Arabidopsis thaliana: one gene and its partner. The protein of the gene in region 2 interacts with the protein of the main gene of each other region in a pairwise test. Each region holds a gene or a part of one and is shown on either strand. Other genes may lie near its edges.

What was found.
Region 1: the proteins of AT1G50290 (region 2) and AT5G03545 interact in a protein complementation assay, tested with the Arabidopsis thaliana proteins (one large-scale study listed by BioGRID).

Annotation. Positions count from the first base shown.
Region 1 is NC_003076.8:884,067-900,734, reverse strand, and holds AT5G03545 (expressed in response to phosphate starvation protein), read right to left. Parts: upstream 6,154-16,668; 5' UTR 5,689-6,153; coding exon 5,476-5,688; 3' UTR 5,218-5,475; downstream 1-5,217. Other genes in the region: NCS1 (permease, cytosine/purines, uracil, thiamine, allantoin family protein), read left to right, coding at 582-2,381; AT5G03553 (uncharacterized protein), read right to left, coding at 3,078-3,112, 3,739-3,889; AT5G03550 (MATH domain/coiled-coil protein), read left to right, coding at 4,590-4,922; EXO70A1 (exocyst subunit exo70 family protein A1), read right to left, coding at 6,819-6,936, 7,035-7,181, 7,274-7,374, 7,464-7,563, 7,665-7,865, 7,984-8,189, 8,801-9,013, 9,091-9,229 and 5 more; RABC2A (RAB GTPase homolog C2A), read left to right, coding at 13,674-13,809, 14,149-14,217, 14,309-14,374, 14,465-14,586, 14,674-14,802, 14,884-14,994; RAB8C (RAB GTPase homolog 8C), read right to left, coding at 15,577-15,660, 15,763-15,855, 15,940-16,002, 16,079-16,176, 16,280-16,345, 16,490-16,590.
Region 2 is NC_003070.9:18,620,816-18,637,700, forward strand, and holds AT1G50290 (uncharacterized protein), read right to left. Parts: upstream 7,638-16,885; 5' UTR 7,448-7,637; coding exon 7,043-7,447; 3' UTR 6,736-7,042; downstream 1-6,735. Other genes in the region: NTMC2T5.1 (N-terminal-transmembrane-C2 domain type 5.1), read right to left, coding at 41-828; AT1G50270 (Pentatricopeptide repeat (PPR) superfamily protein), read left to right, coding at 1,229-3,019; AT1G50280 (Phototropic-responsive NPH3 family protein), read right to left, coding at 3,042-3,374, 4,148-5,329, 5,415-5,477; TAF15 (TBP-associated factor 15), read right to left, coding at 8,003-8,199, 8,616-8,739, 8,853-8,934, 9,311-9,394, 9,990-10,187, 10,304-10,632, 10,743-10,847; STP9 (sugar transporter 9), read left to right, coding at 15,169-15,307, 15,419-15,741, 16,084-16,713, 16,834-16,885.

The DNA of each region.
Region 1 (16,668 bases), on a different chromosome or scaffold from region 2:
CTTTCGGCCGTCAAATGTTTGGACTGAAGTGGGAGAAAGAGATTGATCGCTTGAAAGAATAACATCTTCAGAAGCCAAAAGGTTGGTCACACTACTATGTTCTTGTGTTTGTAGTATATCTATTGATAGTATACGAGTCAATGTGGCTATTGGTGCTTAGGCTAGATATAAAAAGAATAAGAAACAAGTGTTTGAGTTGTTTCATGTATGTTGTATCCATCAAATACTCTCTTGAAAGATAATTATAGCTAAGAAAGAAGTCTTTAGGGATCAAATCACGTTCTTTAATTTGAATAATTTCTCTAAATGAGTAGGCTAATGGAAGTCAACGAATCAAGTAAGATTGAAAAGAAAAAAAAAAACTCTTTTTTGCTGAAAAAAGAAAGAAATCGAATCTTATTTTAAGTTTTTTCCGTATTAAGTAAAAGAAAATGAGATGTGATAGCGACGAAACATCCACTAAACACATGGTTCATGTCCAACCACATGTTTCTTAGAGAACTTAAACAGAACACCACCACACAATTTCCATCTCACAATTCTTTCTCTTTCTCTCTTTTCTGTGTGAGAAAGAAGACTCAATGGTCTCCAATTGCTTAAGCCTTAGTCTCCATCTCAATCTCCATCCCCACAAACACAATCGTCATTCTCTTTCTTCTTTAAGATCTCGCACAAAAGCTAAACTCTATCAACATGTCTCATTCACAGATTCAAGCCACAAGAGTTCCTACACTTCTTGTGTGTCTACGTTCGACATTCAACGCAAAAGTAGCAAACACTATGAATTGGGCAAGCACAGCTTCAGTCCGATCCTGCCTGGTGACAACTTGGTTTTGAGCCGATCTGGTGTCATCCGCCCACGACTCTCAGCGATGACCGGCTCAGAAATTAATGACCACGGGTACGACGAGTCCCAATTCGACCCATCCCTCACGAATGACGACTTGAAACCGACAACTCCAAGCCAGAGAACGTTTTCATGGTTGGATATGTCAAGTTTATGGATCGGTCTCGTAGTTGGTGTGCCTACTTACTACCTCGCCGGGAGCCTAGTGGATCTTGGCATGGCGTGGTGGCAAGGGATCGCCACAGTTGTTACAGCCAATCTAATACTACTTGTGCCGCTGGTCCTCACCGCTCAGCCTGGCACTCTGTACGGAATTTCCTTCCCTGTCCTTGCTAGATCATCATTTGGTATCCGTGGAGCTCACATCCCGACTCTACTCAGAGCATTAGTCGGTTGCGGATGGTATGGTATCGAGACATGGATCGGAGGTGAAGCTATCTTCTTGCTCTTACCGGGTCATATTAAGAAGTCTGCTTTGTCTCATACACTACCTTGGCTCGGCACTTCTCCCCTTGAGTTCTCTTGTTTTATTGTCTTCTGGTTGGCTCAGCTTTGTATTGTCTGGAGAGGTATGGATGGAATCAGAAAGCTGGAAAAGTACTCAGCTCCAATTCTGATCAGTCTCACGTCCTGCCTCCTTGCCTGGTCCTATCTCAAAGCCGGTGGATTTGGTCACATGCTTTCCTTATCATCCAAGCTAACCTCTGCTCAGTTCTGGACTCTCTTCTTCCCGTCCCTAACCGCAAACATAAGCTTCTGGGCAACTCTAGCTTTAAACATCCCTGATTTTTCCCGGTTTGCAAAATCACAGACGGATCAAATCATCGGTCAAGTTGGTCTTCCTGTTTTCATGGGGTTGTTTACGTTTGTTGGCGTAGCTGTTACGTCCTCCACAAGTATCATCTTTGGAAGAGTCATATCCAATCCGATTGAGCTTCTCGGTCAAATTGGAGGCCTCGCCACAACTCTACTCGCTATCGTCGGAATATCCCTAGCCACACTCACTACAAACATAGCTGCAAACGTGGTCGCCCCAGCAAATGCGCTTGTGAATCTAAACCCTAAGTTTTTCACATTCGGAAGAGGAGCCTTCTTGACCGCAGTTCTCGGAATCGTGTTTCAGCCATGGAGATTGCTTAAATCGAGCGAGAGCTTTGTGTACACATGGCTCATAGGGTACTCAGCGCTTCTTGGTCCAATCGGAGGCATAATTCTTGTCGATTATTACCTGATCAAGAAGATGAAACTGAACATTGGAGATTTGTACTCTTTGAGTCCCTCCGGCGAATATTATTTCTCTAAGGGGTATAATGTCGCAGCGGTCGTCGCTTTGGTCGCCGGAATAATCCCAGTCGTGCCTGGTTTTCTACACAAGATCAGTGCTTTGTCGAAGATCTCAAATGGGTTCGTCGTTGTTTACGACAATGCTTTGTTTTTCAGCTTCATCATCGCAGGATTTGTCTATTGGATCATAATGTCTCGTCTGGGAAGGAAACAGAGCTCGTTGTCTTCTTCTTCACATCCGCTTTTGTAAATCTTTGCATTTAATTGGTTTCGTAAGTAACTAAATATAAGTCATCACAGATGTAAAATTAAACAGAAGAACAAAAGAAAAGAATTGTCATTACTCATTACGGATTTAATTTCATAATATTGATTTTCATGCAGACTAATAACTTTTTGTTAACAATGAGCATATTGGGATCTTAAATAGCTTTACGAATTTGTTACAGCCCATGGGCTTGCTTCAGCCCGTAAAGAAACTTTCAAACTTTAAGAAGTCAATATTTGTTCCATAGTGCGAATCCAATGTGATTTAAAAAACCAATCAACATCATTAACATAAAGTAACTTTGAATGCAGTAATTAATGTAGCTTTCTATTTTAATATAAACAGCTGTCACGAAACGAACTGTATCTAGATCTAAGATCTGAAACCATTAATGTATTATTATCATATGAAGACAACCATGTGCAAAGCCACGTTGAGTTTTGTTATGTATAGTATATAAAGTAAAGAGAAAGAAGGAGAAGAACATTATCACAACCATCCAAATCTTCAAGATGTGATAAATTAGCCAAGAAGTTCATCTTGTATACTCTTATAAACTCTCATCTAAATCAAATTGCGACGAAATACATTAGCTAAATCCGAAGAGTATACCGGCGTTTACCATCTCGATTCTTCCCCTGACCATATCACTTCCACCTCGCCAAGCGGGGAGATTCTTCACATCGATAGTCCAGGTTTCATATCCAGTGACTCTTATACTCGCAAGATCTAGAACAAATTTGTGGTTGCGTGTGTTTTAAGAAATTTTGACATTCGATATTTTGATCGTAGTAGCTAATGATAGTTACCTATTTTGCAGACATGGTATCGTGGCGTTTCTCTTGGGTGTAAAGCTAGGAAAAAATGATTGCTCATAGTCGGAAGTGACAATCCTTTTTATGTGATACTCGTGATTGGAATAACAATAACAAGGTTTGCAGTTGAAGTAACCTTTTTCAATCATCATATCCATTTACAACGACCTTAAGTATAAGTAGATATATGGGGATGTAACGCATGTTGTTTTCTGCGGGAAGCATTTGCACATGTTTCGTGGAGAATGAAATCACATTCCATACATGAATAATAATTACCTTTTAGATAGAACATCGTACTGCTTGAAAAAACATGTTAATGTCATAAACTTTATGATGAAAACACCTATAAAAAGCGTTTTTTCAAGCATGTGCTATCTATGAAGGTAATTACTATTCATGTATAAAATATGATTTTATCCTCCATAAAACATGTGCAAATGCTTTCTACAGGAAACAATATACGTTGCATCCCCATCTACTTACACTTAAGGTCGTTGTCAATGAATGTGATATAATGTTACTTTGACTGTAAAGCTTGAGAGCAGTGGTTTCATCTATGAGTGTGGCATAGATCCACGAATAATCCATCTGTGCATGGTTAAAGATTGGAGCTTTGATGGAGATCTCAAAAGGGCCCATAGTTGAGTTTGCTCTGGTTTTCAACATCTTCATTGTAGGATTTTGACTACTGACTCATCATGCCTTGGCTGATAATGATCTTATCTTATTTTCTCATTACAGTTTGGTTCAGAAAATGTGTATAGTGTATTTACCCAATTATGAGTACATTAGGTTTATTTGTCACAGCCCATCAAGCAATCGCAACTTTTAAAAATAATCCACTAATTATTGATAAATTTGAGACGTTTCAGAAAGGGAAAACATTATGCGAATTTTCAGGTTCACTAATTATTACTAGTTCAAACAAAATCTAAAAAAAAACAGTTATATATATATATATATATATATATATATATATATATATATGATTTCCTTTTTTGTAATCTTAAAGTTATCTTATTTTAAAATTAAACCGAAATCTAAAAGAATTAACAAACTCGATTTCGATTTGGTTTAGGAATTAGAAAGCTTCTGCCTCCTCTATATAAAGAGAGCGAGTTCTAAAACAATCATTCATGAAGCAAAAAAAAAACAAAAAAAACTTTTTGCTCTGACATTAATTACCTATACCGAAATCAAAAGCCAAGTTATGGGGGACCAAATTCCGTTGTTGCATAGACGAAGAAAGATTAGAGTCAATGGTTTTGCCATTGATTCTTGTCACATAACGTTAGCAAAGTGGATTTTTCAGACATATCCAGAAACTACAGACCATGTCAAAGTGCAAAACCAAGCTCTCAGGAATACTTAAATGAACCTTCTCTGCGACATCATCGGGATACTTTACCACACGCCTCTTGGTTATCTCACCGAAGCAGAATTGAGCAAAGCTTCAAAGGATATGTGTGATCTGACACAAGCCGGTTTTAACCTGGATTGGTTGCAGTCAAAGCTTGACATGGTTTCCTTGGAGAAGAAGACTTCTGAAGAACGGATTCTGGAACTCAAACTAGAGGTCAAGAAACTCGTGATGACTGCGACTGATCTCAATAGTGAGAGGAAAAAGGAGAAGAAGAAGTTGAAGAAGCAACCAAGCTGGATACACGCAACAAAAGATGGGCGACTATATTTTAATTTTTTCTAAAACACTTTAGAATAACATAATGGTTATTTAGGGTTATCTAATCTTTTTTTTTTTTTAATATTATTATTATGGATTGTTTATCTAGAAACAATAATCATGTATTATTCGGAAAAAAACATAATTAGATACCCCTACGTTTTCTGTAGTAGGTTTTCTAGTTTGTTTTACTTTATACGACTTTTTATTTAATAGCTTGTCAGACACGGTTTGATTAGGGCTCTCTTGGGTTTCTTCATAGATGCTCATATTAGAAGAATGAATGTGTTTAAATTTACCCGATTTCAATTGGCTAAAACTGGACTATTAATGGGCTAAGAATGGGCCAGCTTAAAAGTATTTTTGATAAAGGTATACACAGATTGCTAAAACAAAATTGTTTGAAGACACTCACTATTAATGAAAGGTAGAAGTGGGGTTTGATTTTAGATATCAAAACCGAATATTCTTTTATTCCTCACACACACATAGGAACACACCTGAATGGTGCATCACACGGGATAACAACAACACACATTCAACACAAACATGACGAAATTAAAGACAATAAACCAAACTAAACCGGAAACAAAGTAAACACGGAACATAAACATATAAGAGCTATAGTAATCATAATCTGCTGATTCCGAGGGGAACCGAAGCTTGCCAAAGGATCGAAGTTGCCCAAACGAGGGATAACAAAAGACACATCAAGCTTGTCTTCATCAACCTTCATGCAATCTTCATCGCTCCATTCACACACAATCCTCATCATCATCATCATCACCATATTGATAATTATGATATTGGATAATGATGATGATGATGATGATGATCATTTACACAACACCCACACACGAACATTCACAATCATAATCTCCAAGAGATCTCTTCTTCTTCTTACCTTTTGTGAGTACTCTTGTGTTTGGGGCCATCCCATAAAGAGAAACTTGAACCTCTCAAAACCCTTTATTGGTGAGATCTTCTGATAGATTCAGAGGGTTCTTGAGCTTCAGTTTCTTTAGGGGATGGCCATATTTTGTGTGTTTGGTGTTGTGCCAAAGAGAGTTTCAACAATGGATGTTGTTAGGGTTTTTATGGCTTCTCTCTTTGTCTTTGGTCATGGAGACAAATTATACAAGAGGTTGAATACACTCATTACATCGATTCAAATTATCATTTTTTTATATTATTTTGGGAAAAAAGTGGAAGGAGATGATGGAAATGGGGAAGTCCATGTAAAGATGTTGGGAGAATTTGGATCTTCTAAAAGGAATATGCCAATTACCAAACATGTGTGTTTTAAAACAACAAAACCATCTCATCACTCTTTATTTTACTAATAAATCATATTTCTTTCATTTAAGTATGCAAGTCGGTAGAGCTCTATCTGTCTTGTTCTGTTCAATAACAACTGATTAATCACCTAAAATCCATTAAGAAAATAACAGAATTGATCCGCATGACAATCTTGTCCCCAAGCTTAGTTCAGCTGTTCGGACAAATATTATTGGCTCGATCTTTAGTACCAAAGCTCGTCTCAAAGCAATTGTCAATCATATCAACTTATAACTTAGCTCCTTCACTGCATATTTTTTTTTATAAATTACGCCTAGGATTTTGATTTCCGATTAATTTCATTCTAAGAAAAAAGATTTCATATCCTTGTGAGTTGAGATTAGACTTATTAGGCCATGGTTATTTCAAAACGTTTAACGTATACAAAAGGAAACAACTCTGTCTCCAAGTAATTTACACATTCTCATTCCAACCAAAGAATAGTAGAATACAAAAAACGAAAAGTTGACACTGCATATACAATAGCAACGAACCTAGTTATGTAAGGTAAGCCAAAAAAAAGAAGAGTTTGATAGAAATTTACCTTACACAATTAGTTTTCATCATCTTTTAGTTGTTTTTTTACCGGCGTGGTTCATTCATAGACTTTCCTTCAAACAACTCACCCAACAATCTTTCAAGATCTTCAGCTGTATACTTTATGTATTTCTGAGGATTCTTCCCACTCTCAACCAAAGGCCTGCATCGATCATAGGTTAAAATCTCATTTAGGTTTTTTTACATTTCAATCAAATATTAGAAAAGCCTTCGCAGTAAAGAGAGAAAGGAGATTTTTACCCAAAGCGTTTGAGGAATGATCTATAAGCAGGCAATAATACTTCAGCAACAGCAAGTCTTAGTGACTCTCTTAACTCTGTGTCTGGAACTGTCCATTGCGATTGTCTCTGATGCAACTCATCAAACTGCATATTGAACATCTTGAACCTGTTCCATTTTTTTTTTACAGATTTATCATCATTACCAAATATATAAACATTTGCCAATTACTGTGTTTATTTTACATGTTTAGGACTTACCTCTCTTTTAATAATCCTCTTGAAACTCCACTGCTGTTTCCTCCCTCTAAACTTCCTCCCCCAGATGAGGTCAAACCTTGCGCCGATGAGCTTTGTAGTATCTACAAAATATGTAACAGTTTCTTAGTAACAATTTAATGAAATTTTATATAATAGTGTTTCTTTACAGAGTTAGACAAATAGACAGAACCTTTGTCCAGGCAACTCTTTTGTATTGGTTTGCATGTTGCTGCACGATACGCCTATGTCTTTGAACCCAATCATCGCCTAACAAATCCTTGGCTTCTGACCTGAAAAATTATCATATGAATAAAGCTAAATGAGTGCGTTCTTTTATTTTTTTAATAAAACCAGATCAGCCTTTAAAGTTTAAACGAGAAAAATAATATACCTGCGCACAGATCTGACCATGTAATGAATGTTGTTCATCAGGAACAAGTGTGTCAATGCAGGATCTTTGTACTGTTTCGATTTTCCGTCCAAGTTGTTTTGAAGCGCCTGCATTATCCGCATCGTTACGGATGCTAGCTGCGAATTTGAGTCATCTCCATTTCCAAATTCCAAGAAAAGTTGCTTCAATGTTGTTTGGTAGCTGACACCAATGATCATCAATTAAAGCGTGGAAAGGGACAATACGCAAATAGCAGTATGGAGAAGAACAATACGCAAATAGTTCGAGGAAATAAGTTGAGTATATATGATGTACTTACTCGAATAAAAACTTGACATAATTGATGACATAGCTTGTTAGTGGGTGGACAGTTCCATCTAGAACAGCAGTCTTTGTAGCATCTTTCTCAACAGCTTCTTCAAAATCACCAAATGTTTCCTGAGCAGTTTGCGCCAACCGCTTTGTCAAGCCCGTCGCAGAATCTCTAATTTCGAGGCATGCTTTCCCTTTGAAAATTGTCTCAATCTGTCCATGGACACAAATTTCATGAGATTGTACCATCTAATCTTATACCATAAACTGGTCATAAGAAAATTCACACTTTATGTCGTCCTAGATAGCAAACTTCCACTACATATGTATCACAAAGTTTTTTCTCTGTGTGCCATGCTGTTTATTATGGTGGGGATTTCAGTTGGTCAAAAACATATCTGATTGATAGAAACTCCACATGGGAAGAAAAACATTAAAGACAATCACTTTCCATATATTACTCCTCAAGTAAACAAAGCAGCTAGGTTTGACATCTCTAAGAAGTAAGTGGTGAACTCTATGCGTATGCAAACTGAAGTTTTACGTCTTAATATGGTAAATCGTTATGTGTGTCAGTGTCAATAAAACTAGACGTTTGCAGCATCCTATATTCTATAACATTTCACCTCACTAGCTTATACAAATGAATACAGGTTTGAAGGTGAATCAAGTATGTACCAAAGTTCATGATACTGAAAACTGACATTCTTAAAGATCAGAAAAAATCCACCAAAAGCTGAAACTAAAGAATAATTTTTCCATTTAACAGAAGACTCTTCAGTAAATGTATGGCGACTTAATGATATTAATGAGAAGATTATTACCTCTGTATGAAGCTCCCGCATTATCTCATACATGTCTAAGAGTACAAACAACTTTTCTGGAGATCTCTTGCTCCTGGCTATAGCATCCCCAAAGCTAAGTAGCATTGAGACACTGCTCACTGTAACTTCTGCAAAACACTGATCACTTAGAGAATCGAAGCCTCGGAATATCTGGTCACATACTTGTCTTTCTCCAGCAAAGAGTAATTTAACCTGTTGAACAAAATATCTTGAGTTAAAAGTGAACAAAACATGTTAAAGTTATTTCCATCCTTAACTAGAGTTCTTACAGCAATGCGCATGAAATGGATCCAATTTCCAATTTTGGCCTCCAAAACTTCCCACTGCATCCTCTGGACATCCTCTTTGCTAAGTTTTTCAACTCCCAATTTCTTTAAGCTTTCTTCCAAGACAAAGGAACGTGTGTCCCTGAACAAAACACAACAGGTTGAACAGAAGGAGATTAATAACAAATTCAAAAACACAAATGCATCTTAAATATGCATTGGGAAAATGCCAGTAGATTATGCAATTCGCTGCTTATATCTGACAATACTAGTAGTTCATATAGAAGAAAAAAGACAAAGCTTCTCCAATGCATTACACATATGAGACAAACAGAATTGCATCTAGCAATAATGTTTTCAGATCAGGTAAGCACAAACAGCGGAGTACACGATGTGCACATCACAGCCAAACTATTTGATGAGTGTCAATAGAAATTCATATTTCAAAAACATTTCTCTTTAGCTTTACTAGTGAAACAGCAGAAGGATAGTCAAATATAAACTCACAACTTGCAGAAACCATGGAAAAACTACTTTGTAAATGAGCGGTGACTGGTGAGAATTATATGTAAGTTAATTGTATACCCGCAATCGTTCAAAGAAACTATACCTTGACTCAGTACTTTGACTCATGCTACAATTATTAGTTGAAAATTTAAGCTAAGAGCCTGATTTGAAAATGAACTGTACGACATACAGGATGAATGACCAAGAATCAATAGTTCACCTATAAATTTGTAGCAACTGTTGTTGGTGACCAGCCTGAACCATTTGCTGTGCCAAGTCATGCAAAAGTGGCAACACCCGTGACGGAATGAGGATTGGAAGTGTATAAGCAGCAGTTTCCGCGTCATCATTGTGATGTCCTCCGTGGGGTTTTCCACCTCCATCCCCGTCTGAGGATGGTCTCAGTGAGTTGGGAAGGCCATCAAATAGGCGATCAGGCTCCACCGCTTTACTGATTATAACAAAAAAAAAGAGTTGGCCTTAGCATTCTTCCATCTAAAACCAGTTGTCTGGAACACTCGTATCATAGGAAACTTGTATATTGACAAGTGTTTGATTTCACAAAAAAAAATCTTTGTCAGGTGACAACTCCGATAATTTAGATAAAAGGTCATTCTAAGTATTCTAGGTTATTTGAAAGATAACTAAAGAAGTAAGACCATCATAGAGCGAAGACCAGTTCCCAAAAAAATACTAACTAGAAAAAGTAGCTAAAAATCCACAATAGCTTTGTTCCCTGAAGTTACAAGGTATGAGTCATAGTTATAGCAAGAGCATCAAGTTTGAAATCATGTAGCTTCTTAAACTCTTATCAGGCGCAGAAGCACAAACCTGTAAGAAGCTAGCAACTGCTTAAACTCTTCCTCCAGCTTTGACTGTGCTTTAGCAAGCAAACTATTTGCGTGGTTGAGAACTCCATCACTACTCTTAAAGCTTTTGTTGCTCATAAAATAACGAATAATCTTTCTGAGTTGAGCAATTGCATCCAGATAACTTTCCAGGTCCTCATGTGGCCCCTTGAGTACTTTAGTCTCTGCCTAGAATTGAATTGAGAGCATAATCAAAGACTATCTATTCTCAATGTAGATCATTATCAATTCTATCTATTTATACCGATCCATGTTAGTAAAATCAGAAGCAAGATTTGTAAAACAAACCTGACGGAGGAGATCGAATTGAGACAAAATAACTTCAGCAGCCTTAAGAGTCCTATCAATATTCTCATGAGCTTTCCTTATAGCATGAGTCCTAATCTGAGATTTCAAAACACAGTCAAACCAAAATCCGATCAAGTCAGCAAAACTCCATAGAGCTATAATACCAGATCTGGATTAGAAAACAATCAGAGAAGATGATCGGAGCACTCTAAACCACACCTGAGTAGGACGCATGGCGGTTTCAAGAGCAGACAGACGACTATCGAAGGAGCCGAGGATAGAAACAACATTATCGGTGATGGTTTGACTCTTTTGAAGAGATGCTCTCATCAACACAGCTCTTTCGCTTAGCAGATCCATTCTGCTATCAACAGCCATGGCGAATTCCAAAACTGGAGAAATACTTTTTCTCGTCGCCTTTCGAAAAATGGAAGTTGAAGAAAAAGAAAGAGAGACGACGAAGGATGACTCGGTTTGGTTTGGTGGGTGACAGAGGAATGCCGAGCCGGTTCAAAGCCAGCTAAGCTTTTTCTTTCCCCTTACTTAACCAGATTGTTGAACATTCTCTTAAAAATATTGACCTCTGTTTTAAATATTTTTATAACAGAATTATAGAAATAATTAAGGTTCAATAAAATTTTGTATTTCCATTAACCAATAATGTAATCGTAAATTAATATATGCAGACGCTAACCATAATAACACATATCGAATATTATATTCCAATAAAATTAAAGAAATAAGTACACTTCAATAAAAATTTGTCTTTCCATCAACCAGTAATGTAATTTTTCAATTTATTATAGTCAGATATGCTAACCATAATGTAATCCTCTCATAATTTTTCTTTACAAACTCGAAGTTTTTGGTGTTATATCGTTCGTTAAATGTCGACAACATTTATAAGCATTGAGCAGTGTTGACATATCATGGCCCACAAAATAAAAGGCTATTGTCCAAATACGAAATAGCCCATTAAATACGGCTACAAATTTGTTTTTACACAAAAGTCACAGTACTGTAGATCTATCTCTAAGAATATTATCCATTAACGACCAAATTTGTCTCAGAAAATAAATGGCTCAACAACAAACTAAATATCAACATTTTCTCAAGAGACATATTATAACTAAAAAGAAATGAACAAAACACTTGACATTAGTGTGTTGAAAACTAAAAAAAAAAGAAGAAGAAGAAGACTTATGAGGATTGTTAGACGAAGATGTAGCCTCTAGAGGATCTTTATTTTGTACTCAACTTGGCACCTTGGTGTGTCAATTTCGACACAACAGTTCTATCCTCCAATAAATTGAAATCACACCGAACATTCACACACACAAACATACACACACTTTATTCTCAATTTATTACGATGGTTTAAATGTTTACTAGAGAGCAGAAAAATATTTTAAATTCAAAAAGAGAAGAACAATAAAAAAAGGTTAGGCGAGCAAAAGGAAGATGATATTCCTAAGATACCTTTTCTTTTCATGGCTTTTCCGTCACTCATTCTGTTCCCAAAACCATGGACAACATTCTCATATTTTTGGATATTTAGAGAGAAAATTAGTTCCATATTTATTCATCTGCCGTTGATAACTTTTAGTTTATAGAAACATAAACCTTCTTGAAATATGTTTTACCATAAGAGGCATATTAAATAAATAAATAAAAAAAAATGACGACAAAAAAAAAAATCATACTGTATATAAAAAAAGAAAGTGTTTTGTGAGAAAAGAAGAGAAAATCAAAGTGCTTTGACTCTTAGTGACGTCTTAATCGGAGCGTGGAAAGCACGTTCTCAGAATGCGCGCGTAAACTTTTGCACAGGCCAGGGGTGGGGTTTCGCAGGGGCTTGGCTGACAGCAGACGAAGGCCAAACATGGCTCCCATAATTCATTTAACCATCACTGTTCGCCGACTCTTCTAGAAAAAAAAAAAAGTAGTTTTCAACCTTCTTACAAAATAATTAGTTCCATTGGTGACTAAAATTTAGTCATTGTAAGTTTTTTTTTTCCTTATTTCAATTTATATTGTAGAGAATACAATATAGCCTAAAGCAATGAGAAATGATGTTAATGACTAAAAAAATATGTATAGTAAGCTAGTGACATATCATAAATTGTTTTATAGATATAAAAAACAAAATTCATGAAAGTATAGACACATTAAAATTTAAAAATAATAATGAATTCCAACCACTTTTTCTAAGCGGTTCAATGAATCGTCTAATTTTTTAGACTGTTTAAATTAGTCTGTCCAAAAATAATGCTCATTCCCTTTTTACAATCGCTAATTTAAAACGCTTTAACAAACTAACTGACAAAATCAAATCGTTTCAATTGGTAGCCCACGAAAACGGTTAGTCTCCAACCGCAGTGGTTAATAGATATGGCAACCGCAGCCGCGATTCCAAAACGCTACACACACACGTCGACAAAAGAACCTGGAAACCAAAACAGAGACGTTTGAGTGAAGCAAAGTGTCGGAGAGAAGAAAGCAAAGAACAAACGTTACTATCTCAGGTCTGTGTCTTGTCTTCTTCTTCAAAAGAAAAAAAAAAAAAAAACTCTCATTTTACCAGTTCTCCTCTCTTTCTCCGTAAAGAATAAATCTTCCAGTTTCTTCATCACATTTCTTTTCCTTATTTTAATCAAAACATTTGTTTGCATCATTCACAGGCAAATAAAAATTCTCCCTTTTTCTTAGATTGCTACTACTTATAAAGTAGAGAGTGCAGATAGATGTAATTATCAAACGAGGAAGCATCATTATCATTATCATTATCATCATTACTGCTTCATAGATTCATATTATTGTTTATCTAAAAGTTTGCTTTTGTAGTAGTTGGTGGTTAAGTAGGATTTGATTTGATCTTCTAGAATTACAGATCGAGAAACAGCAAATCTGAGGTTTTAGAAAATGGGATCTTCTTCTGGGCAAAGTGGATACGATCTGTCTTTTAAGATCTTGTTGATTGGTGATTCTGGTGTTGGTAAAAGCAGTTTGCTTGTCAGCTTCATTTCTAGCTCCGTTGAAGATCTTGCTCCTACTATTGGTAAAATAGTTTTCTTCAACTTGTTTCCTCTATGATTTTTGAAAAAGGGTCTCAGATTTATGTCTTAAGAGCTCTGAAATTGATATGAAGCTAAGTCATGTCTTTGGTGCTTTAGTTGTTGATCAAATAGTAGTATTCTATAAATGGAAGAGCTTGAATGATGAACATCTGTCTTTGATCGAATTGCCACTGAAACAATATTGACTTTTTTGGTTAGACCCAGTTAGATACTTTCTGTCTGATAATCTAGCAGTCTGGTCTTGGTTTGGTTTAAGGAAGTCTGTTTTGTCGGATCTTATTGGCATTATATTGTTGGTTTAACATAAGTATTACTCATAGGTGTTGATTTCAAGATCAAACAATTGACAGTAGGAGGCAAAAGGCTAAAACTCACAATCTGGGACACAGGTGAATGATTCTATATTTTGAGATTATTATAGAAGTTTTATTGTAAATAAAACTAATGGTTCTGATAATATTCTCGGTTTTCTCATTGTAGCTGGACAGGAACGGTTTAGAACACTGACAAGCTCTTACTACAGAGGCGCCCAAGGAATCATTCTCGGTAACGTCCATCATCAATCAATCAATCAAAGGAGACTAAGAGATCTCTCTGTCTGTAAACTGTTTAGTTAATGTTTCTTGGTGAATGCAGTTTATGATGTGACGAGAAGGGAGACATTTACAAACTTAGTAGATGTGTGGGGTAAGGAGATTGAGCTTTACTCCACAAACCAAGAATGTGTAAGGATGCTCGTTGGGAACAAAGTCGATAGAGTGAGTTGCAATCGAAATCGCACTACTTGTTCTCAAAACACGGTTTGGTCATTTTGGTAGTTGACTGGATAAAACATATGATTACAGGAATCTGAGAGAGGAGTAAGCAGAGAAGAAGGGATTGCTCTAGCAAAAGAACTCAACTGCATGTTTCTTGAGTGTAGTGCTAGAACTCGACAAAACGTGGAACAGTGTTTCGAAGAGTTGGCTTTGAAGGTAAAGATCCTTAAATCTGTTTAAAAAAACGATTCGAAAAGAGAGATTCATATATAACATAGAGTGAATGTGATGAAACAGATAATGGAGGTACCTAGTCTCTTGGAAGAAGGATCAAGTGCTGTGAAGAGAAACATCTTGAAGCAGAAACCAGAACACCAGACTAATACTCAATCCGGCTGTTGCAGCTAGTGACCCTAGTCGATGTTGCATATAAAATACTCGAATCTTTATCTTGTGTATTGCAAACTGAACCTGATTCTTCTCTCTGTGGTTGCCTCTTTTGTGTGTAGAACATAATGTAGCTTCAATGTAAATTTGTGGGATTACTTGTATTCTTCTTTTGCTTCTGAAATGAGATTTGTGATAATAACATCATATAATAGAATAAACCCCATCAAGTGTTTTCTTAAATCCGTGTTTATTTTGGCTCAAACTATGGTTCTAGTAGAGAACAGCATTCACAGTGAATAAGATAAATCCTGATTTGAACAGTGAAGTCAGAGGTATACACACTACAACAGTTTCATTTTTATAAATTCAAAGTCTTTTTCACATAGTTTTTTGACCAACATAGTCTTCCATATCAGGAAGATCATTGTACAGGAATTATGGAGATAACAAATTAGACATAAAGATCACAACCATCAATGAGATTTCCTACTCGTTCTAGGTAACAACATGAGAATTATCTCTGATTTGAGACGTAAGAGATGAAAAAGATGGCCAGATATTTAAAAAACCCGGTGCAGGCGAAAAAGAGCAATCATACTCCTAAACGTAACTACAGCAAGCTGACTTCTCGGCTGTAGAAGACGATGCGGCAGTATCTTGTTTAGTGATCTTGATGCCTTGGGGCTGCAAAGTAACAAGAACAGTACATATGTTTATTACTCAGCTAAAATGTCGGTATAAGAATATGAAGATCGAGTATTAATGGTTGATTCCTGCAGTTCTTACCTCTGCCTTCGTGTCGGTTTCTGTCAATCTTTGTTTTATGTCTTTTGCGATTGACATGAAAACATTTTCGACATTGAGGTTTGTTTTTGCACTCTGCAACAATTGTAATCACATTAGTAACCTCAAGAGCATATTAATGAAAAACAGCAGACATGTTCTGTTTTTTATCTAGCTCACCGTCTCAAAGAATTTGATTCCATACTCATCAGCCAAAGCTTGGCCCTTTGCTGTTGGAACAGCCTGAACAAGAAGATCACAAATCAGTACACTATAATTAAACTCTTGAAAGTAAAGTATGCAACTAAAGATTACTTACCCTTTTGCTTTCATCCATATCAGCTTTGTTACCAACCAATATTTTGTTGACATTATCTGAGGCATGTTGCTCAATGTTCTTCATCCAGTTCCTAATATCTGTTTGAAACAGTCGTGTTCAGTTGCCACAAGTCTCACAATCCGATTTTCTCAATGCCATTGCAAAACAGTAACAAGACGAACAGAGAAGTAAAATACATACTGTTAAAAGATGACTCATCCGTTACATCGTAGACAAGCAATATACCCATCGCTCCCCTGTAATACGCTGCAAGGCAAAAAAAAGGGACCAAATGCTTTAAAGGAAATTGCAAAAACAAATTAATTGTCTTTTACTTCATCAAGACAAGACTGAAGAATCAATCAACCGATTCAATTAGTAGCAAACAACGTTAAAAATCCAGCTTATTACCTGTAGTGATAGTTCTGAAACGTTCTTGACCAGCAGTGTCCCAAATCTGCAATTTGATACGCTTCCCATCAAGTTCAACAGTTCTTATCTTGAAGTCAATACTGTAAAAAACACAAACTTAGACAACAAACAACAACAACATTTAAGACAAATCTTGAAGTAAACAGCAGAAGACATAC
Region 2 (16,885 bases):
CGCAGAAAACTTTGTTAGTACCAAACAAGTATACACGTACTGCAAGTCATTGGCACGGCGAGATGTCTTCCTCTCAACATTTCTGACAGACAACGGCTCATCCCCTAAAGAAAACTGCTTAATCTCAACTCTCTGCACATAATCAGGCTTTTTCAAGTCATCAATCACAGGCTGTAACAAACCAACGAGCCAATTCTCAATACCCGCTCTATACACTTTCCAGAGCTTCCCTAACACCATGTTGACCCACTCCACGGACTCTTTCCTTTGCAAATCCTTCTCTAGGAACAAAGAGAAGCTGGTGGGAACCTGTGGCCATGGCCCTACTCCTCGTTGGTTTCCATCTCCACCTGTTTCTCTTTGCCTCTTTCTCCAAGTCCATAGCTTATCAAAAGCAACACCAACGAAAAAGAAGAAGACGAATAGACTAATTACACTACGATTAATGGTCGGTGACGGAAGTGGATGGATTACACCTAACTGGGTCCTAAGCTTATCCACTATCGGATCTTCCCTAAAGTTACTGAAATTGGCTTGGTCATTGGACTCTTTCGAACTACCCTCGTCTTCAAATTCATTCGTAAACCTAGCAATTACAAACCTATTTGCAGCCTTTCTACTAGAATCCGTCAATCTTAGGTTTTTCGAATTCCCACGAAATCCACAGGAAATAAACCTAAAGTTCGAAATTTTGACGCTCGGACGCAGAACCCGACTCCTTGTAAAAAAAACCGCGCGGAGCTCATTAGAGCATGGACAGAGCAGAGTGCAAGACACATCAACAGGTAATCGGAAATCAAAATTCGAAGAAGAAGTTTGTGGAATCATCTATGAATCGTATCCGAAGAAGAAGGAGAAAAATAACGCATATCTTTAGGGCAATAACAGTTTCTCCAATGGCTCGTAGCAAAATCTGTAGAAGCTAACAAAGTTAGAAAAATTGCAGAAGAAGAAGTTCATTTTCTTCTCTTCTTACTTCTGTTTTTTTCTCTGGACTGTTTGACACGTGGATCGAACCCTCGTCTCCCCCTCTACGGCTATTAAAAAAAATATATAAAAACTAAACCGACTGATATTCAGAGTCACTTCGATTCAATTGAATGGGAATTTTGGTTTAATGTCGGTTCGGTTCGGTTCCTTTGAAATCTGAAATCTGAAAACTGGAAAATTCGAATTGAAGTATTAACCACCCCCTCTCTCTCTCTCTTTTGCTTACTTCTCAATTCACATGATTGAGCTCAAAACATTGCTTGATCTTCCATTACACTTTCTTCATCTCAAGCAGATCCATTGCTTACTCCTAACTTCTCCGATATTCTATACTCGTCGCGATCTCTTTCTCTCACGTCTTCTCCGTCGCTGCTGCACCGCCGCAACTCAATTCCGCTACGCTCGTCGTTTATTATGTCAACTCCAAACTCTGAGCATTCAACTATGGGATTCGCTCATTGGTCACTTCTCCGGCGGGATTACTCTCAACCGTCGGTTATCATTTCTTGCTTATCGTCATATGCGGCGAAACGGCGTCATCCCTAGCCGCCACACGTTTCCTCCGCTTCTCAAAGCGGTTTTCAAACTGAGAGACTCGAACCCGTTTCAGTTTCATGCTCATATCGTTAAATTCGGGTTGGATTCGGATCCTTTTGTCAGGAATTCGTTGATTTCGGGTTATTCTAGTTCTGGGTTATTCGATTTTGCAAGTCGTCTTTTTGATGGAGCTGAAGATAAGGACGTGGTTACTTGGACTGCAATGATTGATGGGTTTGTGAGAAATGGTTCTGCTTCGGAAGCAATGGTGTATTTCGTGGAGATGAAGAAGACTGGAGTCGCGGCTAACGAAATGACCGTTGTTAGCGTCTTGAAAGCTGCAGGGAAGGTTGAAGATGTTCGATTTGGGAGAAGCGTTCATGGGCTTTACTTAGAAACAGGGAGAGTGAAATGCGATGTGTTCATAGGAAGTTCTCTAGTAGATATGTATGGGAAATGTAGTTGTTATGATGATGCCCAGAAAGTGTTCGATGAAATGCCTAGCAGAAACGTGGTTACTTGGACGGCGTTGATTGCTGGATATGTGCAAAGCCGTTGCTTCGATAAAGGGATGTTGGTTTTCGAGGAGATGTTAAAGAGTGATGTTGCGCCTAATGAGAAGACTCTAAGCAGTGTTCTTTCGGCGTGCGCTCATGTCGGGGCACTTCACCGAGGAAGAAGGGTGCATTGTTATATGATTAAGAATTCGATTGAGATAAACACTACAGCTGGAACTACATTGATTGATCTTTATGTCAAGTGCGGGTGTTTAGAGGAAGCTATACTTGTTTTTGAGAGACTTCATGAGAAAAATGTGTATACTTGGACCGCGATGATTAATGGATTTGCAGCACACGGATATGCTAGAGATGCATTTGATCTCTTTTATACCATGTTGAGTAGTCATGTTTCACCAAATGAAGTTACTTTCATGGCTGTCTTAAGTGCCTGCGCTCATGGAGGTCTTGTGGAAGAGGGTCGAAGGCTTTTCCTGAGCATGAAGGGACGTTTCAATATGGAGCCAAAAGCGGATCACTATGCGTGTATGGTTGATTTATTTGGAAGAAAAGGTTTGCTAGAAGAGGCGAAAGCTTTGATAGAAAGAATGCCAATGGAGCCAACAAATGTGGTATGGGGAGCTCTGTTCGGCTCTTGTTTGTTACACAAAGACTATGAGTTAGGTAAATACGCAGCCTCCCGTGTGATCAAGCTGCAACCTAGTCATAGTGGGAGATACACTCTCTTGGCTAATTTGTACTCGGAATCCCAAAACTGGGATGAAGTCGCTCGGGTAAGAAAGCAAATGAAAGATCAACAGGTGGTGAAATCGCCAGGATTTAGTTGGATCGAAGTGAAAGGCAAGCTTTGTGAATTCATAGCTTTCGATGATAAGAAACCCCTTGAATCTGATGATTTGTACAAGACTCTCGACACTGTTGGGGTGCAAATGAGATTGCCAGATGAATTGGAAGATGTGACTGCTGAATCATGACTTGGGACGTTTACCATTTTCCTCATAAGCCTTCTCTGAAACTATCCATAACCTTCAAATTATATCCTCCTTTAGTCTTCAACCTCTCGGCTAATTTCTCTGTTATCTCGAGATGCAATACTACAGGCTTCTTCTTCTCTTCTGAATATCTACAAGAAAAACTCTTGTTTGCAACTTTAACATCTGAAGTTGTGTGTTCTTGATTCCCACATCTGGACTTGAGTGCTTCAATGGCGATTTCTGGAGGGATCTTAGGGTTTCTGGCGAGCTGTTTGCACGTCTCCATTGTTAGTTTCTTGTAGTTGAGACATCGACATATCTCTGTTCGATCTTGGGGTGTTAGATTCGGATGAGACTGTACAATAACAAAACAACAGAAATTATAAAGGAATCAATCATACACTGACATAATAATCATTATTTCTACAATTTTTGAAAATGATGAACTATTGTTAATTCCAGTAAAACATGTGAATAGAAAAGTACATGAATAATTGTTAGTCTTTGACATGTATTTCAAGTGTAACTGATAGTACCTTACCAGAATTATTCCTTTTTAAGATATTTTTACTAATAGTATTACAGAGAAAAACAAGAAGAAACATACAGTCAAGACTGTTGTGGCCTTGTGGGTCTGACATGAACCCCACGGCAGTAACAAGACAGAGTGAAGAATCTAAAGGATGACTCCAAATCTTCTTAATCATATATATACATCCATGTGTGTATATTATTAATACACGTTAATCTCAAAAAACTTCAAATCTTTTCTTTGATACATTTTCGGTTTTATATTAAAACTTAGTTTGGCTTTATATCCCAAAGTCTCAAACTTCAAATCTTTTATGTTTATGATGAATAAAAGAATAGTTGACTCTATTTCAACTCTTCATAATAAATATATAAAGCCAAAATGTATTAATAAGCAAATGGTATTGAAATCTGTATGGCACTTGTCATCTTCTATATGTCCAATACATATAGAAAATTAAAATTATTCTCTATTTTGTGTCTCACTTTTGCAGGATAAAAAACATTTTTGGCTCAATCATTTAGTTGGTGAAGAAATTCAAGAAAAACAAAAAAATAATAGTAAAACTTATAACTTAACAAAAAAAAAAAACTGACCTGTAGATAGATGTCAATTGCTCTGTAAACTCCATCAAAGCAATCTCTAGCTGAATCCGGCAAGCTCTCTGCAACACCAAGAAACTTGGGGACTTTCAAATTCTGATCTGGAGATATTTCTCTCAAATACTTATCAATCAATTTCCCAATTTCTTTCATATTCCTCTCTCTTGATTCTTCTTCTTCTTCTTCTCTGTTCTTCACAAATACTTTTAGTAATCTTATCACAAGATCAACATTGTAGAAACCACTTTCTCTGCTTCCTCTTGCAGATATCAGAAGATCATCAAGTGTTGCTTGTTCCAGCATTTCTCCTATTAGGGTTTCTAAACCGATTCTTGACTCTCTACTTAGGCTAAAACTGGATAAAACTCGAAGAATCCAGAAGAGTTTCCTGCAAGAAAACGTACGTGTCCCTGCGGAAATCACTCCTCTAACCGCTGTGTCAGCTAAATCTGAGTACTCGAGCTTGTTCCTCATAAGCTCAGTGGTAGTTCTTGATTTGGTTTGGAGTTTTGTCTTGAGATAATGGAGAAGAAATCTGGTTAGGACTAAGCTTTTTATGTTGGTTTTGTAAGCTCCAATGATCATAACTAGCTTCAATATGATCTTCGGGGAAAGATTTGTCATATCTTCGAACCACCACTCGTTGCTTCTTCCGCAAGCAACAGACCGCGAAATATACCTACCGTCTGATTCTGACGTGTTCTTGGCCATCTCAGGAGAAAGAGAAGAGGCGAAGGAAGAAAGCGAAGAAGAAGAAAAATCGTCTGAATTCTGAGAGATTTTGTTCAAAGCTGCGAAAATGAGTTTATCTACAAGACCATACGAATCTGCTTGGAAGAACACTTGCTCGCAGTTCTTGAGACACGAAACGATGTCGCTCCAAGACCCATAGAACACTTCTTCTAGAAACTTCTCTGTCTGAAGGAAGAGATTAGAGAAACAGAACTTCTCCGACATGCCTAGAAAAACAGAGCAGCAGTACAAAGTCGAGACGTTTGAGACGTCGATTAAGATTTCTCCGTTGTGGTAACAGAACCTTGAAACCAGCTCAAACCCATCTGGTCCTCCTGGAAAATCATTAATCTCGATAGTGATGATTCTCTTTTTCTTGTTTCTCTTCTTTTTGCTCTGTTTAATCATCTTCCTCAAGCTTCCAGAGTACTTTGAAATCACGTTCTAAAACAGAGCACATAGAGAATTAAGAACAGAGCATAATCAAGACTGTGGTTTTTTGAACTGAGTTTTAGGTTTGGTTCTTTACCTGATTGAGGAAGAATGTGTATTGGCCATTGAGATTGATCTTAAGATCGTTGAGAGGAGACATTTCATAGAACAACTAGGAAGCCTACTGAGGTCTTGTGACTTTGTGAGCTTTTTTCTGTTCTTCCTCTGTGTTTTTTTCTTGGATTGAATAGAGCAATAATTATAGTGGGCACATGTAAATGAGTGGATATATATAGTGTTTCATTTGGCTTTATTTACACCTGTAAAATGCACAAAAATATATAAACTGAATCTAAGTTTGAGAAATTAGAGGTAAGTAAGACAAAGTTTATGTTGAGCTAGTATAATAAAACCACATAAATTCCAAAGTCTCTCAAATTCCCATAAATTGATTTCTTTTGTTTGTCTTGTTATGTTGTTTTTAAAAGAATGCTGTAGAATTTTGATTCCTATATCTTTGAGAAGGATTGACTTTTAAGAAATTATGATAATTATTTTTCACTGTCAAGTATTCGGTTCATATTGTACATGAGCTTTTCAAACTCAAACATGAATATCAAAACTTCAAAGTGTTTGAAAGGTCACTAAAAAAATTAATACAGCATTACTAAACACAACATACAGTAAAACCTCTATAAATTAATAATGTTGGGACTACAAAATTTTATTAATTTAGAGAGGTTTTAATTTATCGATAAATTAATATTTATTAATTTATAGAGAGATTTTCCTAATTTAGTAACTTTTCAAAAAAAATTATAGGATTTTTTTCATTATAGAAAATATCTTTCAAGAATCAATTACAACTAAACAATAATATCATGTTTAGAAAACAACACCAAAAGTTTTTGATACAGTAAAATACGAGAACTAAATTTTAAATAAAAATAAATACAAATTTAAGCAAAAAAATATTAGAATTATATTTCAGAAAAATTCCTACATATAATGTATATATATAATTGATATATTTATACAATTATTAATTTATGATATTGATGGGACCATATATTTACATAGAACTTTCAAAAAAGTTATTATCTTATTAATTTATCGATTTGTGTCACTTTTTACACTGGTACAAATTCGGGATTGGAAAAATTTATTAATTTATAAAGGTTATTAATTTATCGACTATTAATTTATAGAAGTTTAACTGTATGTTATAAATATCATCATATACTGTACTTTGGTCACTCTTTCTATTAACTTCTTCTTTTTTTTTAAAAGAATTTGGAATTATGTCGTAGTGCATGTGAATAAGTGGGGTCTAGACGAAAAAGATTTTCCTGTTTTAAGTGCGAGTCCATGACGAGCTTTTTTCATCGTATTTCCCATATCCGACCATGTTTTTTTTTTTTTTTTTCACTGGAAAGATTATGTTTATTAATGATCCACAGAATACAGCCCAACAAAGGTCCACTTAGTTACATTTCTTTAAAGGAAGGATATCTCTTTAACAAAACACGATCGTATAACAAGACACGTGTTGCAAGAGAAGCGATGAAACGTTCCTGTCATCCTGTGCCGTCAAAGACTCCGATCCGGTGAACACAATCAACGTCGAAAAAGGGCAAACATCGATTTTTGTTTTTTTCTCACCGGAAACTGCTAAACAGAGAAGGGAGGATACACAAACAGAGAATTCAATTCCAAAATCATCAATCAAGAGATTTGGCAAAAACAGGTAATGAGGAAAGAAAAATCTGAGTATTCCTCAAATTTGATCGATCGAAGCTCCATAAACATGTAGAAACGGCTACAGGCAATCCCAATATGCTGGAAACAAAACTTCCTTTCATACTTGAGGTAATTCTGCAAATCAAACTTTCTAAAGATACAAATCCGAAAACTTAATCTTAGGCTATTATGACCTAAAATTAATCTCCAATTGAAATCTTTAGAAATTATTGAAAGAAAAACTGAAAAAGAAACTAAAGCAATCGGTAAGAACAACCGATCGAACGGCGGAGGAAGGATAAAAGCCGGCCAAAACCGCTTGTAAAAGCCGGATTTGCCAGAAGAGGACCGGCCATCTTTGCTAACAAAGCCAAAATTAATCTCCTTCATATCTTTTAGAGAGAGGAACTGTTGAATTCTGTCGACCGGATTATTCTGGTAAACTGCCGTCCCAAGTTTTGCCGACCATGTTTATGACAATGATATGACATTAATATATATCCCCACAAATAAGCTTAATTTTTTCTTATCCTATTATAGTTTCAGAAACTATATTGTCCACAAAAATCTTCTTGTTCTATTTTTTTTATTCCCATTAAAATCATACAGCGATGAAATGATTGGCGATGGAAAAAAAAACAAAGGGACAACTAAAAATAATACTACAAAAGACAAAATAATACTTAATACACGTCTAAATTAGCAATTGACGTCGCTAACCATGTTTTGCCATAATTACCAATTTTCGAAACGATAAACATGGAGTATTCTCAGAACATAATCAGACCAAAACAAGTGAAAAACAATAGCCATTGATTCAAACCAAAATGAGTTTCACTTCACACAATAAGTAAACAAAAGGCGAAGACATTGTAATGATACCGTTGTAAAAGTAAGTCGACAAAACAGATGAGAAACTAAACCCTAACACTTATGAGTAATCTCTCAGTTACGGTACCTGCTTCCACGTTCGCGACCGTAGTCTCTGTCTCTGTCCCGATCATGGTCATAGTCATAGTCACGCTCCTTGCCTCTTTCCCTCTCTCGGCTTCTGCTTCTGCGTCTATCCTTATCGTAGTGATGATCTCTACCACGGTCTCTTTGCCTGTCTCTGCTTCTCTCTCTTCCATCTTTATCAATACCTGCCACATTCATATAAATTATGAACAACTACATTGGATCATGACCTTTCTATTTTTGGGGAAGCAGCAATAAACATTCTTTTCTATCTTCCTCTATATCTATTCAGTGAAAAGAAGAAAACTCTAACAAGGAACAACACTGTTTATTGGAGATCCCCACTAGGCTTGGGCTATAGGCAAGTTAGCTGCAAGCTTAATGTAAAATTTCAAACAAATCCCTCCCCGCATATATGTTAAGTTTCACTCAAGTGTCTAGATGACAAGCAGAAACTTTCTTTGAAGACTATACACAGAGAGTAGATATAGATCGAGCCAAATAAATCTCTATTATAGTGGAAAGGTTCTGTTCATAAGCTCAACCTATTTGATGATTGCATAGATTTAGTTCATATTAGTTAAAATTAAACAGAACTTACCTAGTTCCTCGACTTCCCACCCAGCACGACCAGCAGCAACAGCAGGTCTGGTGTCAGCTTGGTTTGTTTTAACACGGTACTTCTTCTTTAGATTCCCAAACTCATCATACATTTCACCATCATCCTGAAATATATTAGACGTATAAGTCAAATGGAATATACAAAAAACTGAGAGCTCATCCGAATTGCAACAAAAAAACAAAAAACAAAGAACTCTTCAGGAAAAGCATATCTTACTTCTTCAGCCTCACGCCTGCGTCTCTTCGTTTCCTCTAATTCTTGTTCATCTAATTCCTTGTAACCACCACCACGGCCTCCCCTATTTAGAGAAAAAAAAATGAATAAGCACTGGTCTAGATAAAAACAACCTTCCAAACTCAAACCTTAATGTTTCTTAATGCAACTCTAATTTGGCCAAAATAAAACATTACAAGTGGGATAAATCAATTGTCGAAGAAAACAAGCACTCGTTCAAATTGCAGAAGAGAGTATTGAGACTTTTTCCCAGGTATCTATTAGGCCCTGTCTAAAAGCAGAATAAATATACCCTGCTGACAACAAAACTACAAACATCGAACAGAAAATCTACGACCTCTCCTACATTCACTGTAAAATCATTTATAATCCAAATCCTCAGCTCGAACATTGCAAGATAACAATACAAAGGCAATCTTATCACTGGCTTTGAGTCATACCTCACACCACCTTCATTCTGACCAGGTTTATTGGTGTTGCAGATATTACATTTTAGACGTTTCGCCCAGTTGACATTGCCACACCTGAAAGAATTAGCGCAAAAAGAAAAAGTGCATTATGCATAAGAACTCACATTCACACAGTGCAGCCTCTTAGTTAAGCTACTCGATGACACATAGCATAACTTGCAATTAAACTAAAACATAGTCCATTTTTTGTATCAGACACAGAAAATTGAAGGCAGCCTATCTTCACAAATATAACTTCTTAGAAGGATCAAGACTACAACCTACCCACGTTTCAAATTACATTTTTCAGATTAACAGCCATCTGAAGGAAAATTACGAAATTAGAATCAACATTCAAAAAAGAAGGAAAAAATATGTGCCTCCACACATAATTTGGACCAGTTTAAGAGACACAGCACAGCAGAGCGGGCCATCACTTCTTTCTAAGTAAAGAGTCAACTGACATCATCAAAAGCATTGATATACAAGCTATATTCCTTCCATACATAAGACAAATTAATTTTATATCCAGCAACGCTATATGCCATCTGAATGTTCTCTTTTGCTACTGAATATAAATTGTTTCTTGCGATGTGTTTTAATCAAGTACCAAACGCTCATTATCCTCTGAAACTGAACTAACTATTTCAAACCTAATCGGAATGCTTACATTGGACAAGCCCAATCATTTGGACCAAAGAGACCAGTAGGAGCACCACTGGGCTGCTTCCCCGGGGCCCCACCATCAGCGCCTCCACCTCGACCCCTTCCACGACCAGCACCCATGCTGCCACCAGATGCACCAGCTGGTCTAGCAGTTCCACAGCGGTTACAAACCCCACGGAATGCAAAATTCACATTTGTACAACTGCCAATGAAAGAGTATGAGAACACTACTGCTAGAAACTATAAAATATATAAAAACTAGCAAATTAACGGAAACAAGAGCTAGATGAAGCTCCTCACCGATATCACATCACAGACCTTGTATTAGGGCACATCCAGTCACCATCTTGCTGCCATGGCTTTGCCGAAGAATCAGCCTGACCCCTCCCCCTTCCAGCACCTCCATTTGTTTCCTCAGCACCTCCATCGAATTCAACAAACTCAACTGCATCACCAGCATTTTTATTCTTCGACTCGGCCATAAAAACTCCAATGGTGTTTCCATGAAAATCTTTGTTATTGAACCATTCAACAGCAGCCAAAGCAGCATGCGGATCCTCATAGGTAACAGTAGCATCTCCCTTGGGCTCATCAGTTTCTTTATCCCGGTACAGCCATACCTTAGGAGTACCAGTTCGTTTGTCTCTCTAAAAGCAATGTAGAAAAAAATGTAAGAAACTCGAAAATCTAGTGACCTATAAAAGATTGCAATGACGTCAAAACAAAAGCAACAATTAGTACCTGGCCAATACCATACCTTAAGCAACCCAATGGTCCCAAAATAGTCAGCCAACATATTCTCGTCAGTTCCTAAGGGGAGATTTGAAACGTAGACTGATCCATTAGTAGGATATCCAGCCATCGTAATCCAATTTCATCAAAAAGAAAGCCGCCAAGAATCTGTAAATGACAATACCAAAACTTCACTTAGCCAACATTGAAACCTCGCTAAGAAATAACATCGAGACATTGAAACCCCAAAGTTTTGAGCTCAAAAACCATGAGAACAAAAAGAAGATTCGAAATCTGACCAACGAGATAGGGAAACATAGAAGAGCGAGATAGATAGAAATCTGACCAGCGATGAGGATTCAGCGGCGAAGGAGAGGTCGTCGGACTAGGGTTTCTTTCTAAAGTGCGTCGAGTGAGAGAGAGAGAGAGAGATCTTGCGAATAAAGATTTTCTTAAGGGTAACCTCGATAGTCGATTGTTTGTTTGGTGGTTATATTTGCAATTTCATATAACTTTCCCCCTTAAATTGTAATTTTGTTTTTTTATTTTTTTCGTGGTTAAGGAATTCTTTTTTTGGGTGCAAATTGAGGAATTATTAATTTACAAATTAGATGAGTACCCGCACTACGTGCGGGTTTACGTATTACTATTTACTAATTGTTTTATATAATGTCTGTTTATATAAAGTAAAGTTGAATGCATAGGTTTTGAAACATAAATATGTTTTGTAATTGTTTTTGAAAAGTCCAACTATATTAGTTCATCTGAAAAACGAATGTGCTTGAGTTGTTTTTTATTGTTGTTTTAGATTCTTAGTTTTTTTTTGAATTTATATATCCTTGCTTTTTTAGTTATATGTATAGATTGTGAGACAGTGAAATTTTAGAAAAATTATTTCTTACACTAAAAATATAACATGTCTTTATTAATCATGTCTTTGCATATTCAATCTAAGCATATTCAACTCGATATTCTTAGAAAGTTTAGTTAAGTTCTTGTCATAATCTTATATCTTACGTATTAGTTATAAGGATAGCTCCTCAAATATCTTTCAAATTACCTGTTTTCTTAGCATAAATATCGAAAAGCTTAGATATATTTAATCTGCATATTCATTTAGTTTCTTTCATAATAATCGTCTAATTTTTAGGCCAGGAATATGTGTAACATGTTTGGATTTTATCATCACTTTAGCCACTTAAGTGGATCTCAAAATTAAAGAGGATATATTGAATTAAAAATGTAGAAAGAGTGATGGTTCAAGTTCTCATTAATTATATTCTCCTATTTTAGTTGTTATGTTGAATTAATTACTAATTATGTATTACTTATTTTATGAAGTCTAGGTGGCAAGCTCTCATGTGCTTATGTGTCAAGTTGTGGGAGAGAGTTAGTCTTCTTTCATATATATGATTTGTGTTTCAATGTTGAATCTATTTATAGCCAATAATATCTAATACTACTAATATTATACTACCAAAGTATTGGTCAATAAAAAAAAATACATTTGCATCTAACATATATTGACTAAATTAATAATTAAAAAAGTATTGACTCATACTACAGTAAAATATTTATATAATGCTATCTATTTTGTAAAGTTACTAGCATAAGCTTGTCATTTTTTAAAATCTGTCACTACTAATTTTACTATGACTAGGTAATCACCCGCGCTACGCTGCGGTATTTTTAAATTTTTTGTATCGTTTAATTTAAATATAATTTTTAATTATCTAATCATTTACTTATATAATAAGTAATTATTCTTAATATTAAAATATATTTTTTCTAACAACATTCTCAACAATGCATTATACACACAATTCCTAAACAATGTTCGTCTTAAACTAATTAAATAGAAGGTAATATTGGGATTCTCGAAACCTAAGAATTTGATGATTAAACTTCTTACATACTCTTCACCCTCGGCGATTTATTATATAGATATATAACAATATGCAAACTATTCAAACTATTAATTAATCCATGACTACTATACACTCATAATTTGAGTTAAGATTACAGAAAAAAATCTTTTGAGTATGAGAAAATCAATCAAATTATTTTATTGAAAAACATTTAATAACAAAATAAATTTAGTATTAGTACAATTAAATATGTAAAATTAAATAATAAATACATCATTAATCTATAAATTAAAAGTTGAAGAGCTTACATTAATTATTCAGTGGATACATGGCAAATGTTAAAGTGATGATGTGTCAATCATATGGAGAGAGTTGGCTAACTTTCATATATATAATTAGTAGATTAAAAACTCACTAAAGAATAGAACAAGTTTTCTTGTAATGAGTTTTCAGAGAAAAATCTTATTGCTGTAATTGACAAACCAGTGCAAATGGTTGACGTAATTGAAGAAATTAAAAGAGTTGAATAAACATTCAATCAATTTTTTACTATTTAAGTTGAAATAGTTGAAAAAATGATTCAATTGCACTCCTAACCCATTTAAATAAAACCCAAAAAAAACTTTATATTAGTAAATCTCATTAAAATAAAATTCTTACTACGTTTTGGTAATATATTCACATCTTATCATAAATAAAAAATGTTATATAAGATGACACTAATAAAAACAAATTTGGTATCAGATCATTATGTGTATTGGGAGTTATCAAAGGATCTCTTCACCCAAACGAAAAGTTTGGCGCCTCCGAGATTTAACAGATCAAAAATATTAAACTGCCATCCAAGTTTTAGATTTTGTGGCTAAAGTTGAGGATGAAGCAACTATCCATTTAAAAAAAAAAAAAAAGCAACTATCCATTCCACTACCGAGCGTACTTCCCAAAAAGAAGTAGATATATGGCAAGGTTCTCAAGGATGAACCTAAAAGGATGGATGAGTAGTTGGACATACACAATATGTTTTTTTTTTTGTGGATTAACCATGACATAGTTAACTATGATACATTTAAACATGAACTAATTAAGGAAAATTCCGTGCAAGGTTTAGTTGCCCCATAACTAAAAGCCCTCCAAACTCTTATAAAGAGCATGTCCAACGTTGGTGAAAAAATAAATTCTAAGATTCAAAGGTGAAAACAACAGCTAACTGGCATATATATGTATGACTGTTTGTCTTGGAAATAAAAGAAATTTTGATTTTAAATGCTATAATCAATTTATAGACAAAATTAGCTAAATGATGAATATGGTCGTTAAAGATTTTGGACCCAAAGTTTGAATGTGCACTGTTTGATCCTCATTCACTCTTGCTTAATAGCCATCAATTCATTTTGTGAATATAAGCAAAAAAGCCACTTGAGCTCTTGAGAAGAAGAAGTCGTGGTTCGGTTAATCAGGAGACAGCCGAGATAAAGAAAGTCTTCATGAGATTTAATGTGATGGTTAATTACGTAATGAAAGGGTGGCTGATAATTGTTCATGGCTGTTGCATCATGTCATGATCACTTGACATGTTTATTCTAAAGATTTCTTGTTCCATCACTTTTCATTTAGACTTATCAAGTACGTACGTAGTGATAAACTTAATTTGTAATATCTTTTCTCATGTTACAAACTCGGACTTCTGTCGTCCATGAGCCTGATATATATTTGATGACCAAGGCTTAGGATGTTGAACTGATCCAATCTTCATTCTCGGAGGTTTTGCTATGTGTTCTTCGTCCAGCTCATTGTTAATTACACCGAGATTGACATAATGACATGATTCAAAAATGGGAACGTTGTTGTTGTTGTTGTTTCTTTTTCAATTTGCATATATATATTACAGAGTTACAAAGATGAGAAATATCTTAAAACCTATTCTATTAGAGAACGTACGGTGTGTTCATAATGACAATGAACATTTTTGTCTACGTAGATATATTTACTTTGTTTTTTTCTTCATTTTCAATTATCTTTGTAACGTTCTCTCTCAAATTAGCTGGAACAACGATCTACAATGACGTGTATCTAATAATCAATCCTAAATATATGAACCAAACTAAACTAGAAATGAAATGTCTCCAAATAGACTATATTATATATACGTACTGAACGAAATCACAATTAGTTCACAGCTAAATGCGACTGTTATTATATTAATACAAGATCCTATTTTAGGGTTAGACTGTCTTTTTCAACATATCTCTTAGAGTCTTTATGTAATAAAAATTACAGAGAAATGAGCGGAAGTTGTCAGTAAAAAAACAAAAGAAACTGTCAAAAAAAGACAGTAAGATCTCCACTAAAACTGGGTTTGAAGAACATGAAAAAAATACCAAAACCACTTCACCTATTCATAAGCTAAGATAAATCTAAAACAGCTAATATCACAATCGATTCCTAATAATAGATAACGAAAATTCTTATATTTAAGGAGCTCACAAGCTCTTCAGTTTTGGATCATAAGCTCACTAGTTCTTGTTTGAATAACAAAGCAAAAGGCAATAATACTAACAATCAATAAGTGAAGAATAAATAATAATGGCTGGAGGAGCCTTTGTATCAGAAGGTGGTGGTGGAGGAAACAGCTATGAAGGCGGAGTCACCGTCTTTGTCATCATGACATGTATTGTGGCCGCTATGGGAGGTCTCCTCTTTGGTTATGACCTCGGTATCTCAGGTTCGTAAATTCCACATTCGCCTTTTTCTTCTTCGGGTTGAGTTATTTTGGTTCGCTTTCGCTGTCCACTCTAGCTTCGGGGAATGTAACGTGACTTCTTTTGTTGTATAGGTGGAGTGACATCTATGGAGGAGTTTCTGAGCAAGTTTTTCCCGGAGGTGGATAAGCAAATGCACGAAGCAAGGCGCGAGACTGCTTACTGCAAATTCGATAACCAATTGCTACAGTTGTTCACTTCCTCACTCTACCTCGCGGCACTCGCGTCTTCCTTTGTAGCTTCGGCTGTCACAAGGAAGTACGGACGCAAAATCTCCATGTTTGTTGGAGGGGTTGCTTTCCTCATAGGTTCTCTATTCAACGCATTTGCTACCAATGTCGCAATGCTCATCGTTGGTAGATTGTTGCTCGGAGTCGGTGTTGGATTTGCCAATCAGGTGAGTCAACAACTCAACATGGTCATGGTGTGTTTATTATGTGGTTTAGCTCAAGACATTCTGGTTCTGGACTCGGTTTGGTTCAAAAATTTCTCAATTTTTCAGAGTGGTTCCAATTTCCAAACTAGAATCAACTTACATCTAAGGTTCAGTTTTAAAATACAAATAAATAATTAATACTATCAAAATTTAGTTGCGGTTTATTTTGGTTTATTCGTTGCTGTTTGGTTGCACGATATTTGATTTGTTAGCTATAAAAATATTGTTAGCGCTTAGTATGAAATAAAGTAAGGTATATTTGGTTTCAGTATGGCTCATCCATCTTTAACTTTGTTTTTCCAGTCTACGCCTGTTTATCTCTCGGAGATGGCTCCAGCGAAGATCCGAGGAGCACTTAACATCGGGTTTCAAATGGCTATAACCATCGGGATTTTGATTGCAAACTTAATCAACTACGGAACATCTCAAATGGCTAAGAACGGATGGAGAGTATCATTGGGTTTAGCCGCTGTACCGGCAGTTATTATGGTTATTGGATCTTTTGTCTTGCCCGATACACCAAACTCGATGCTCGAGAGAGGCAAGTACGAACAAGCGAGAGAGATGTTGCAAAAGATTCGTGGAGCTGATAACGTAGATGAGGAGTTTCAAGATCTGTGTGATGCTTGTGAGGCTGCTAAGAAAGTGGATAATCCATGGAAGAACATTTTCCAACAGGCAAAATACAGACCCGCTCTTGTTTTCTGTTCTGCGATTCCTTTCTTCCAACAGATTACTGGTATCAATGTTATCATGTTCTACGCCCCCGTTCTCTTTAAGACTCTCGGTTTTGCGGATGATGCCTCGCTCATCTCAGCGGTTATTACGGGTGCGGTCAATGTTGTCTCTACCCTTGTCTCCATCTATGCGGTTGACAGGTACGGAAGAAGGATTCTCTTCCTTGAAGGAGGCATCCAAATGATTGTTTCCCAGGTAAAAATGCTAGTTCCGAGTTTGCGTATACATGTGGAAAAATGAAACGTTTTCAGTTCATAATGTATATAAATGATGATTGCGTACCTTACATATATTGTTTGATGGGTCATTTTGCAGATCGTTGTTGGTACCTTGATTGGTATGAAGTTTGGAACCACGGGATCAGGGA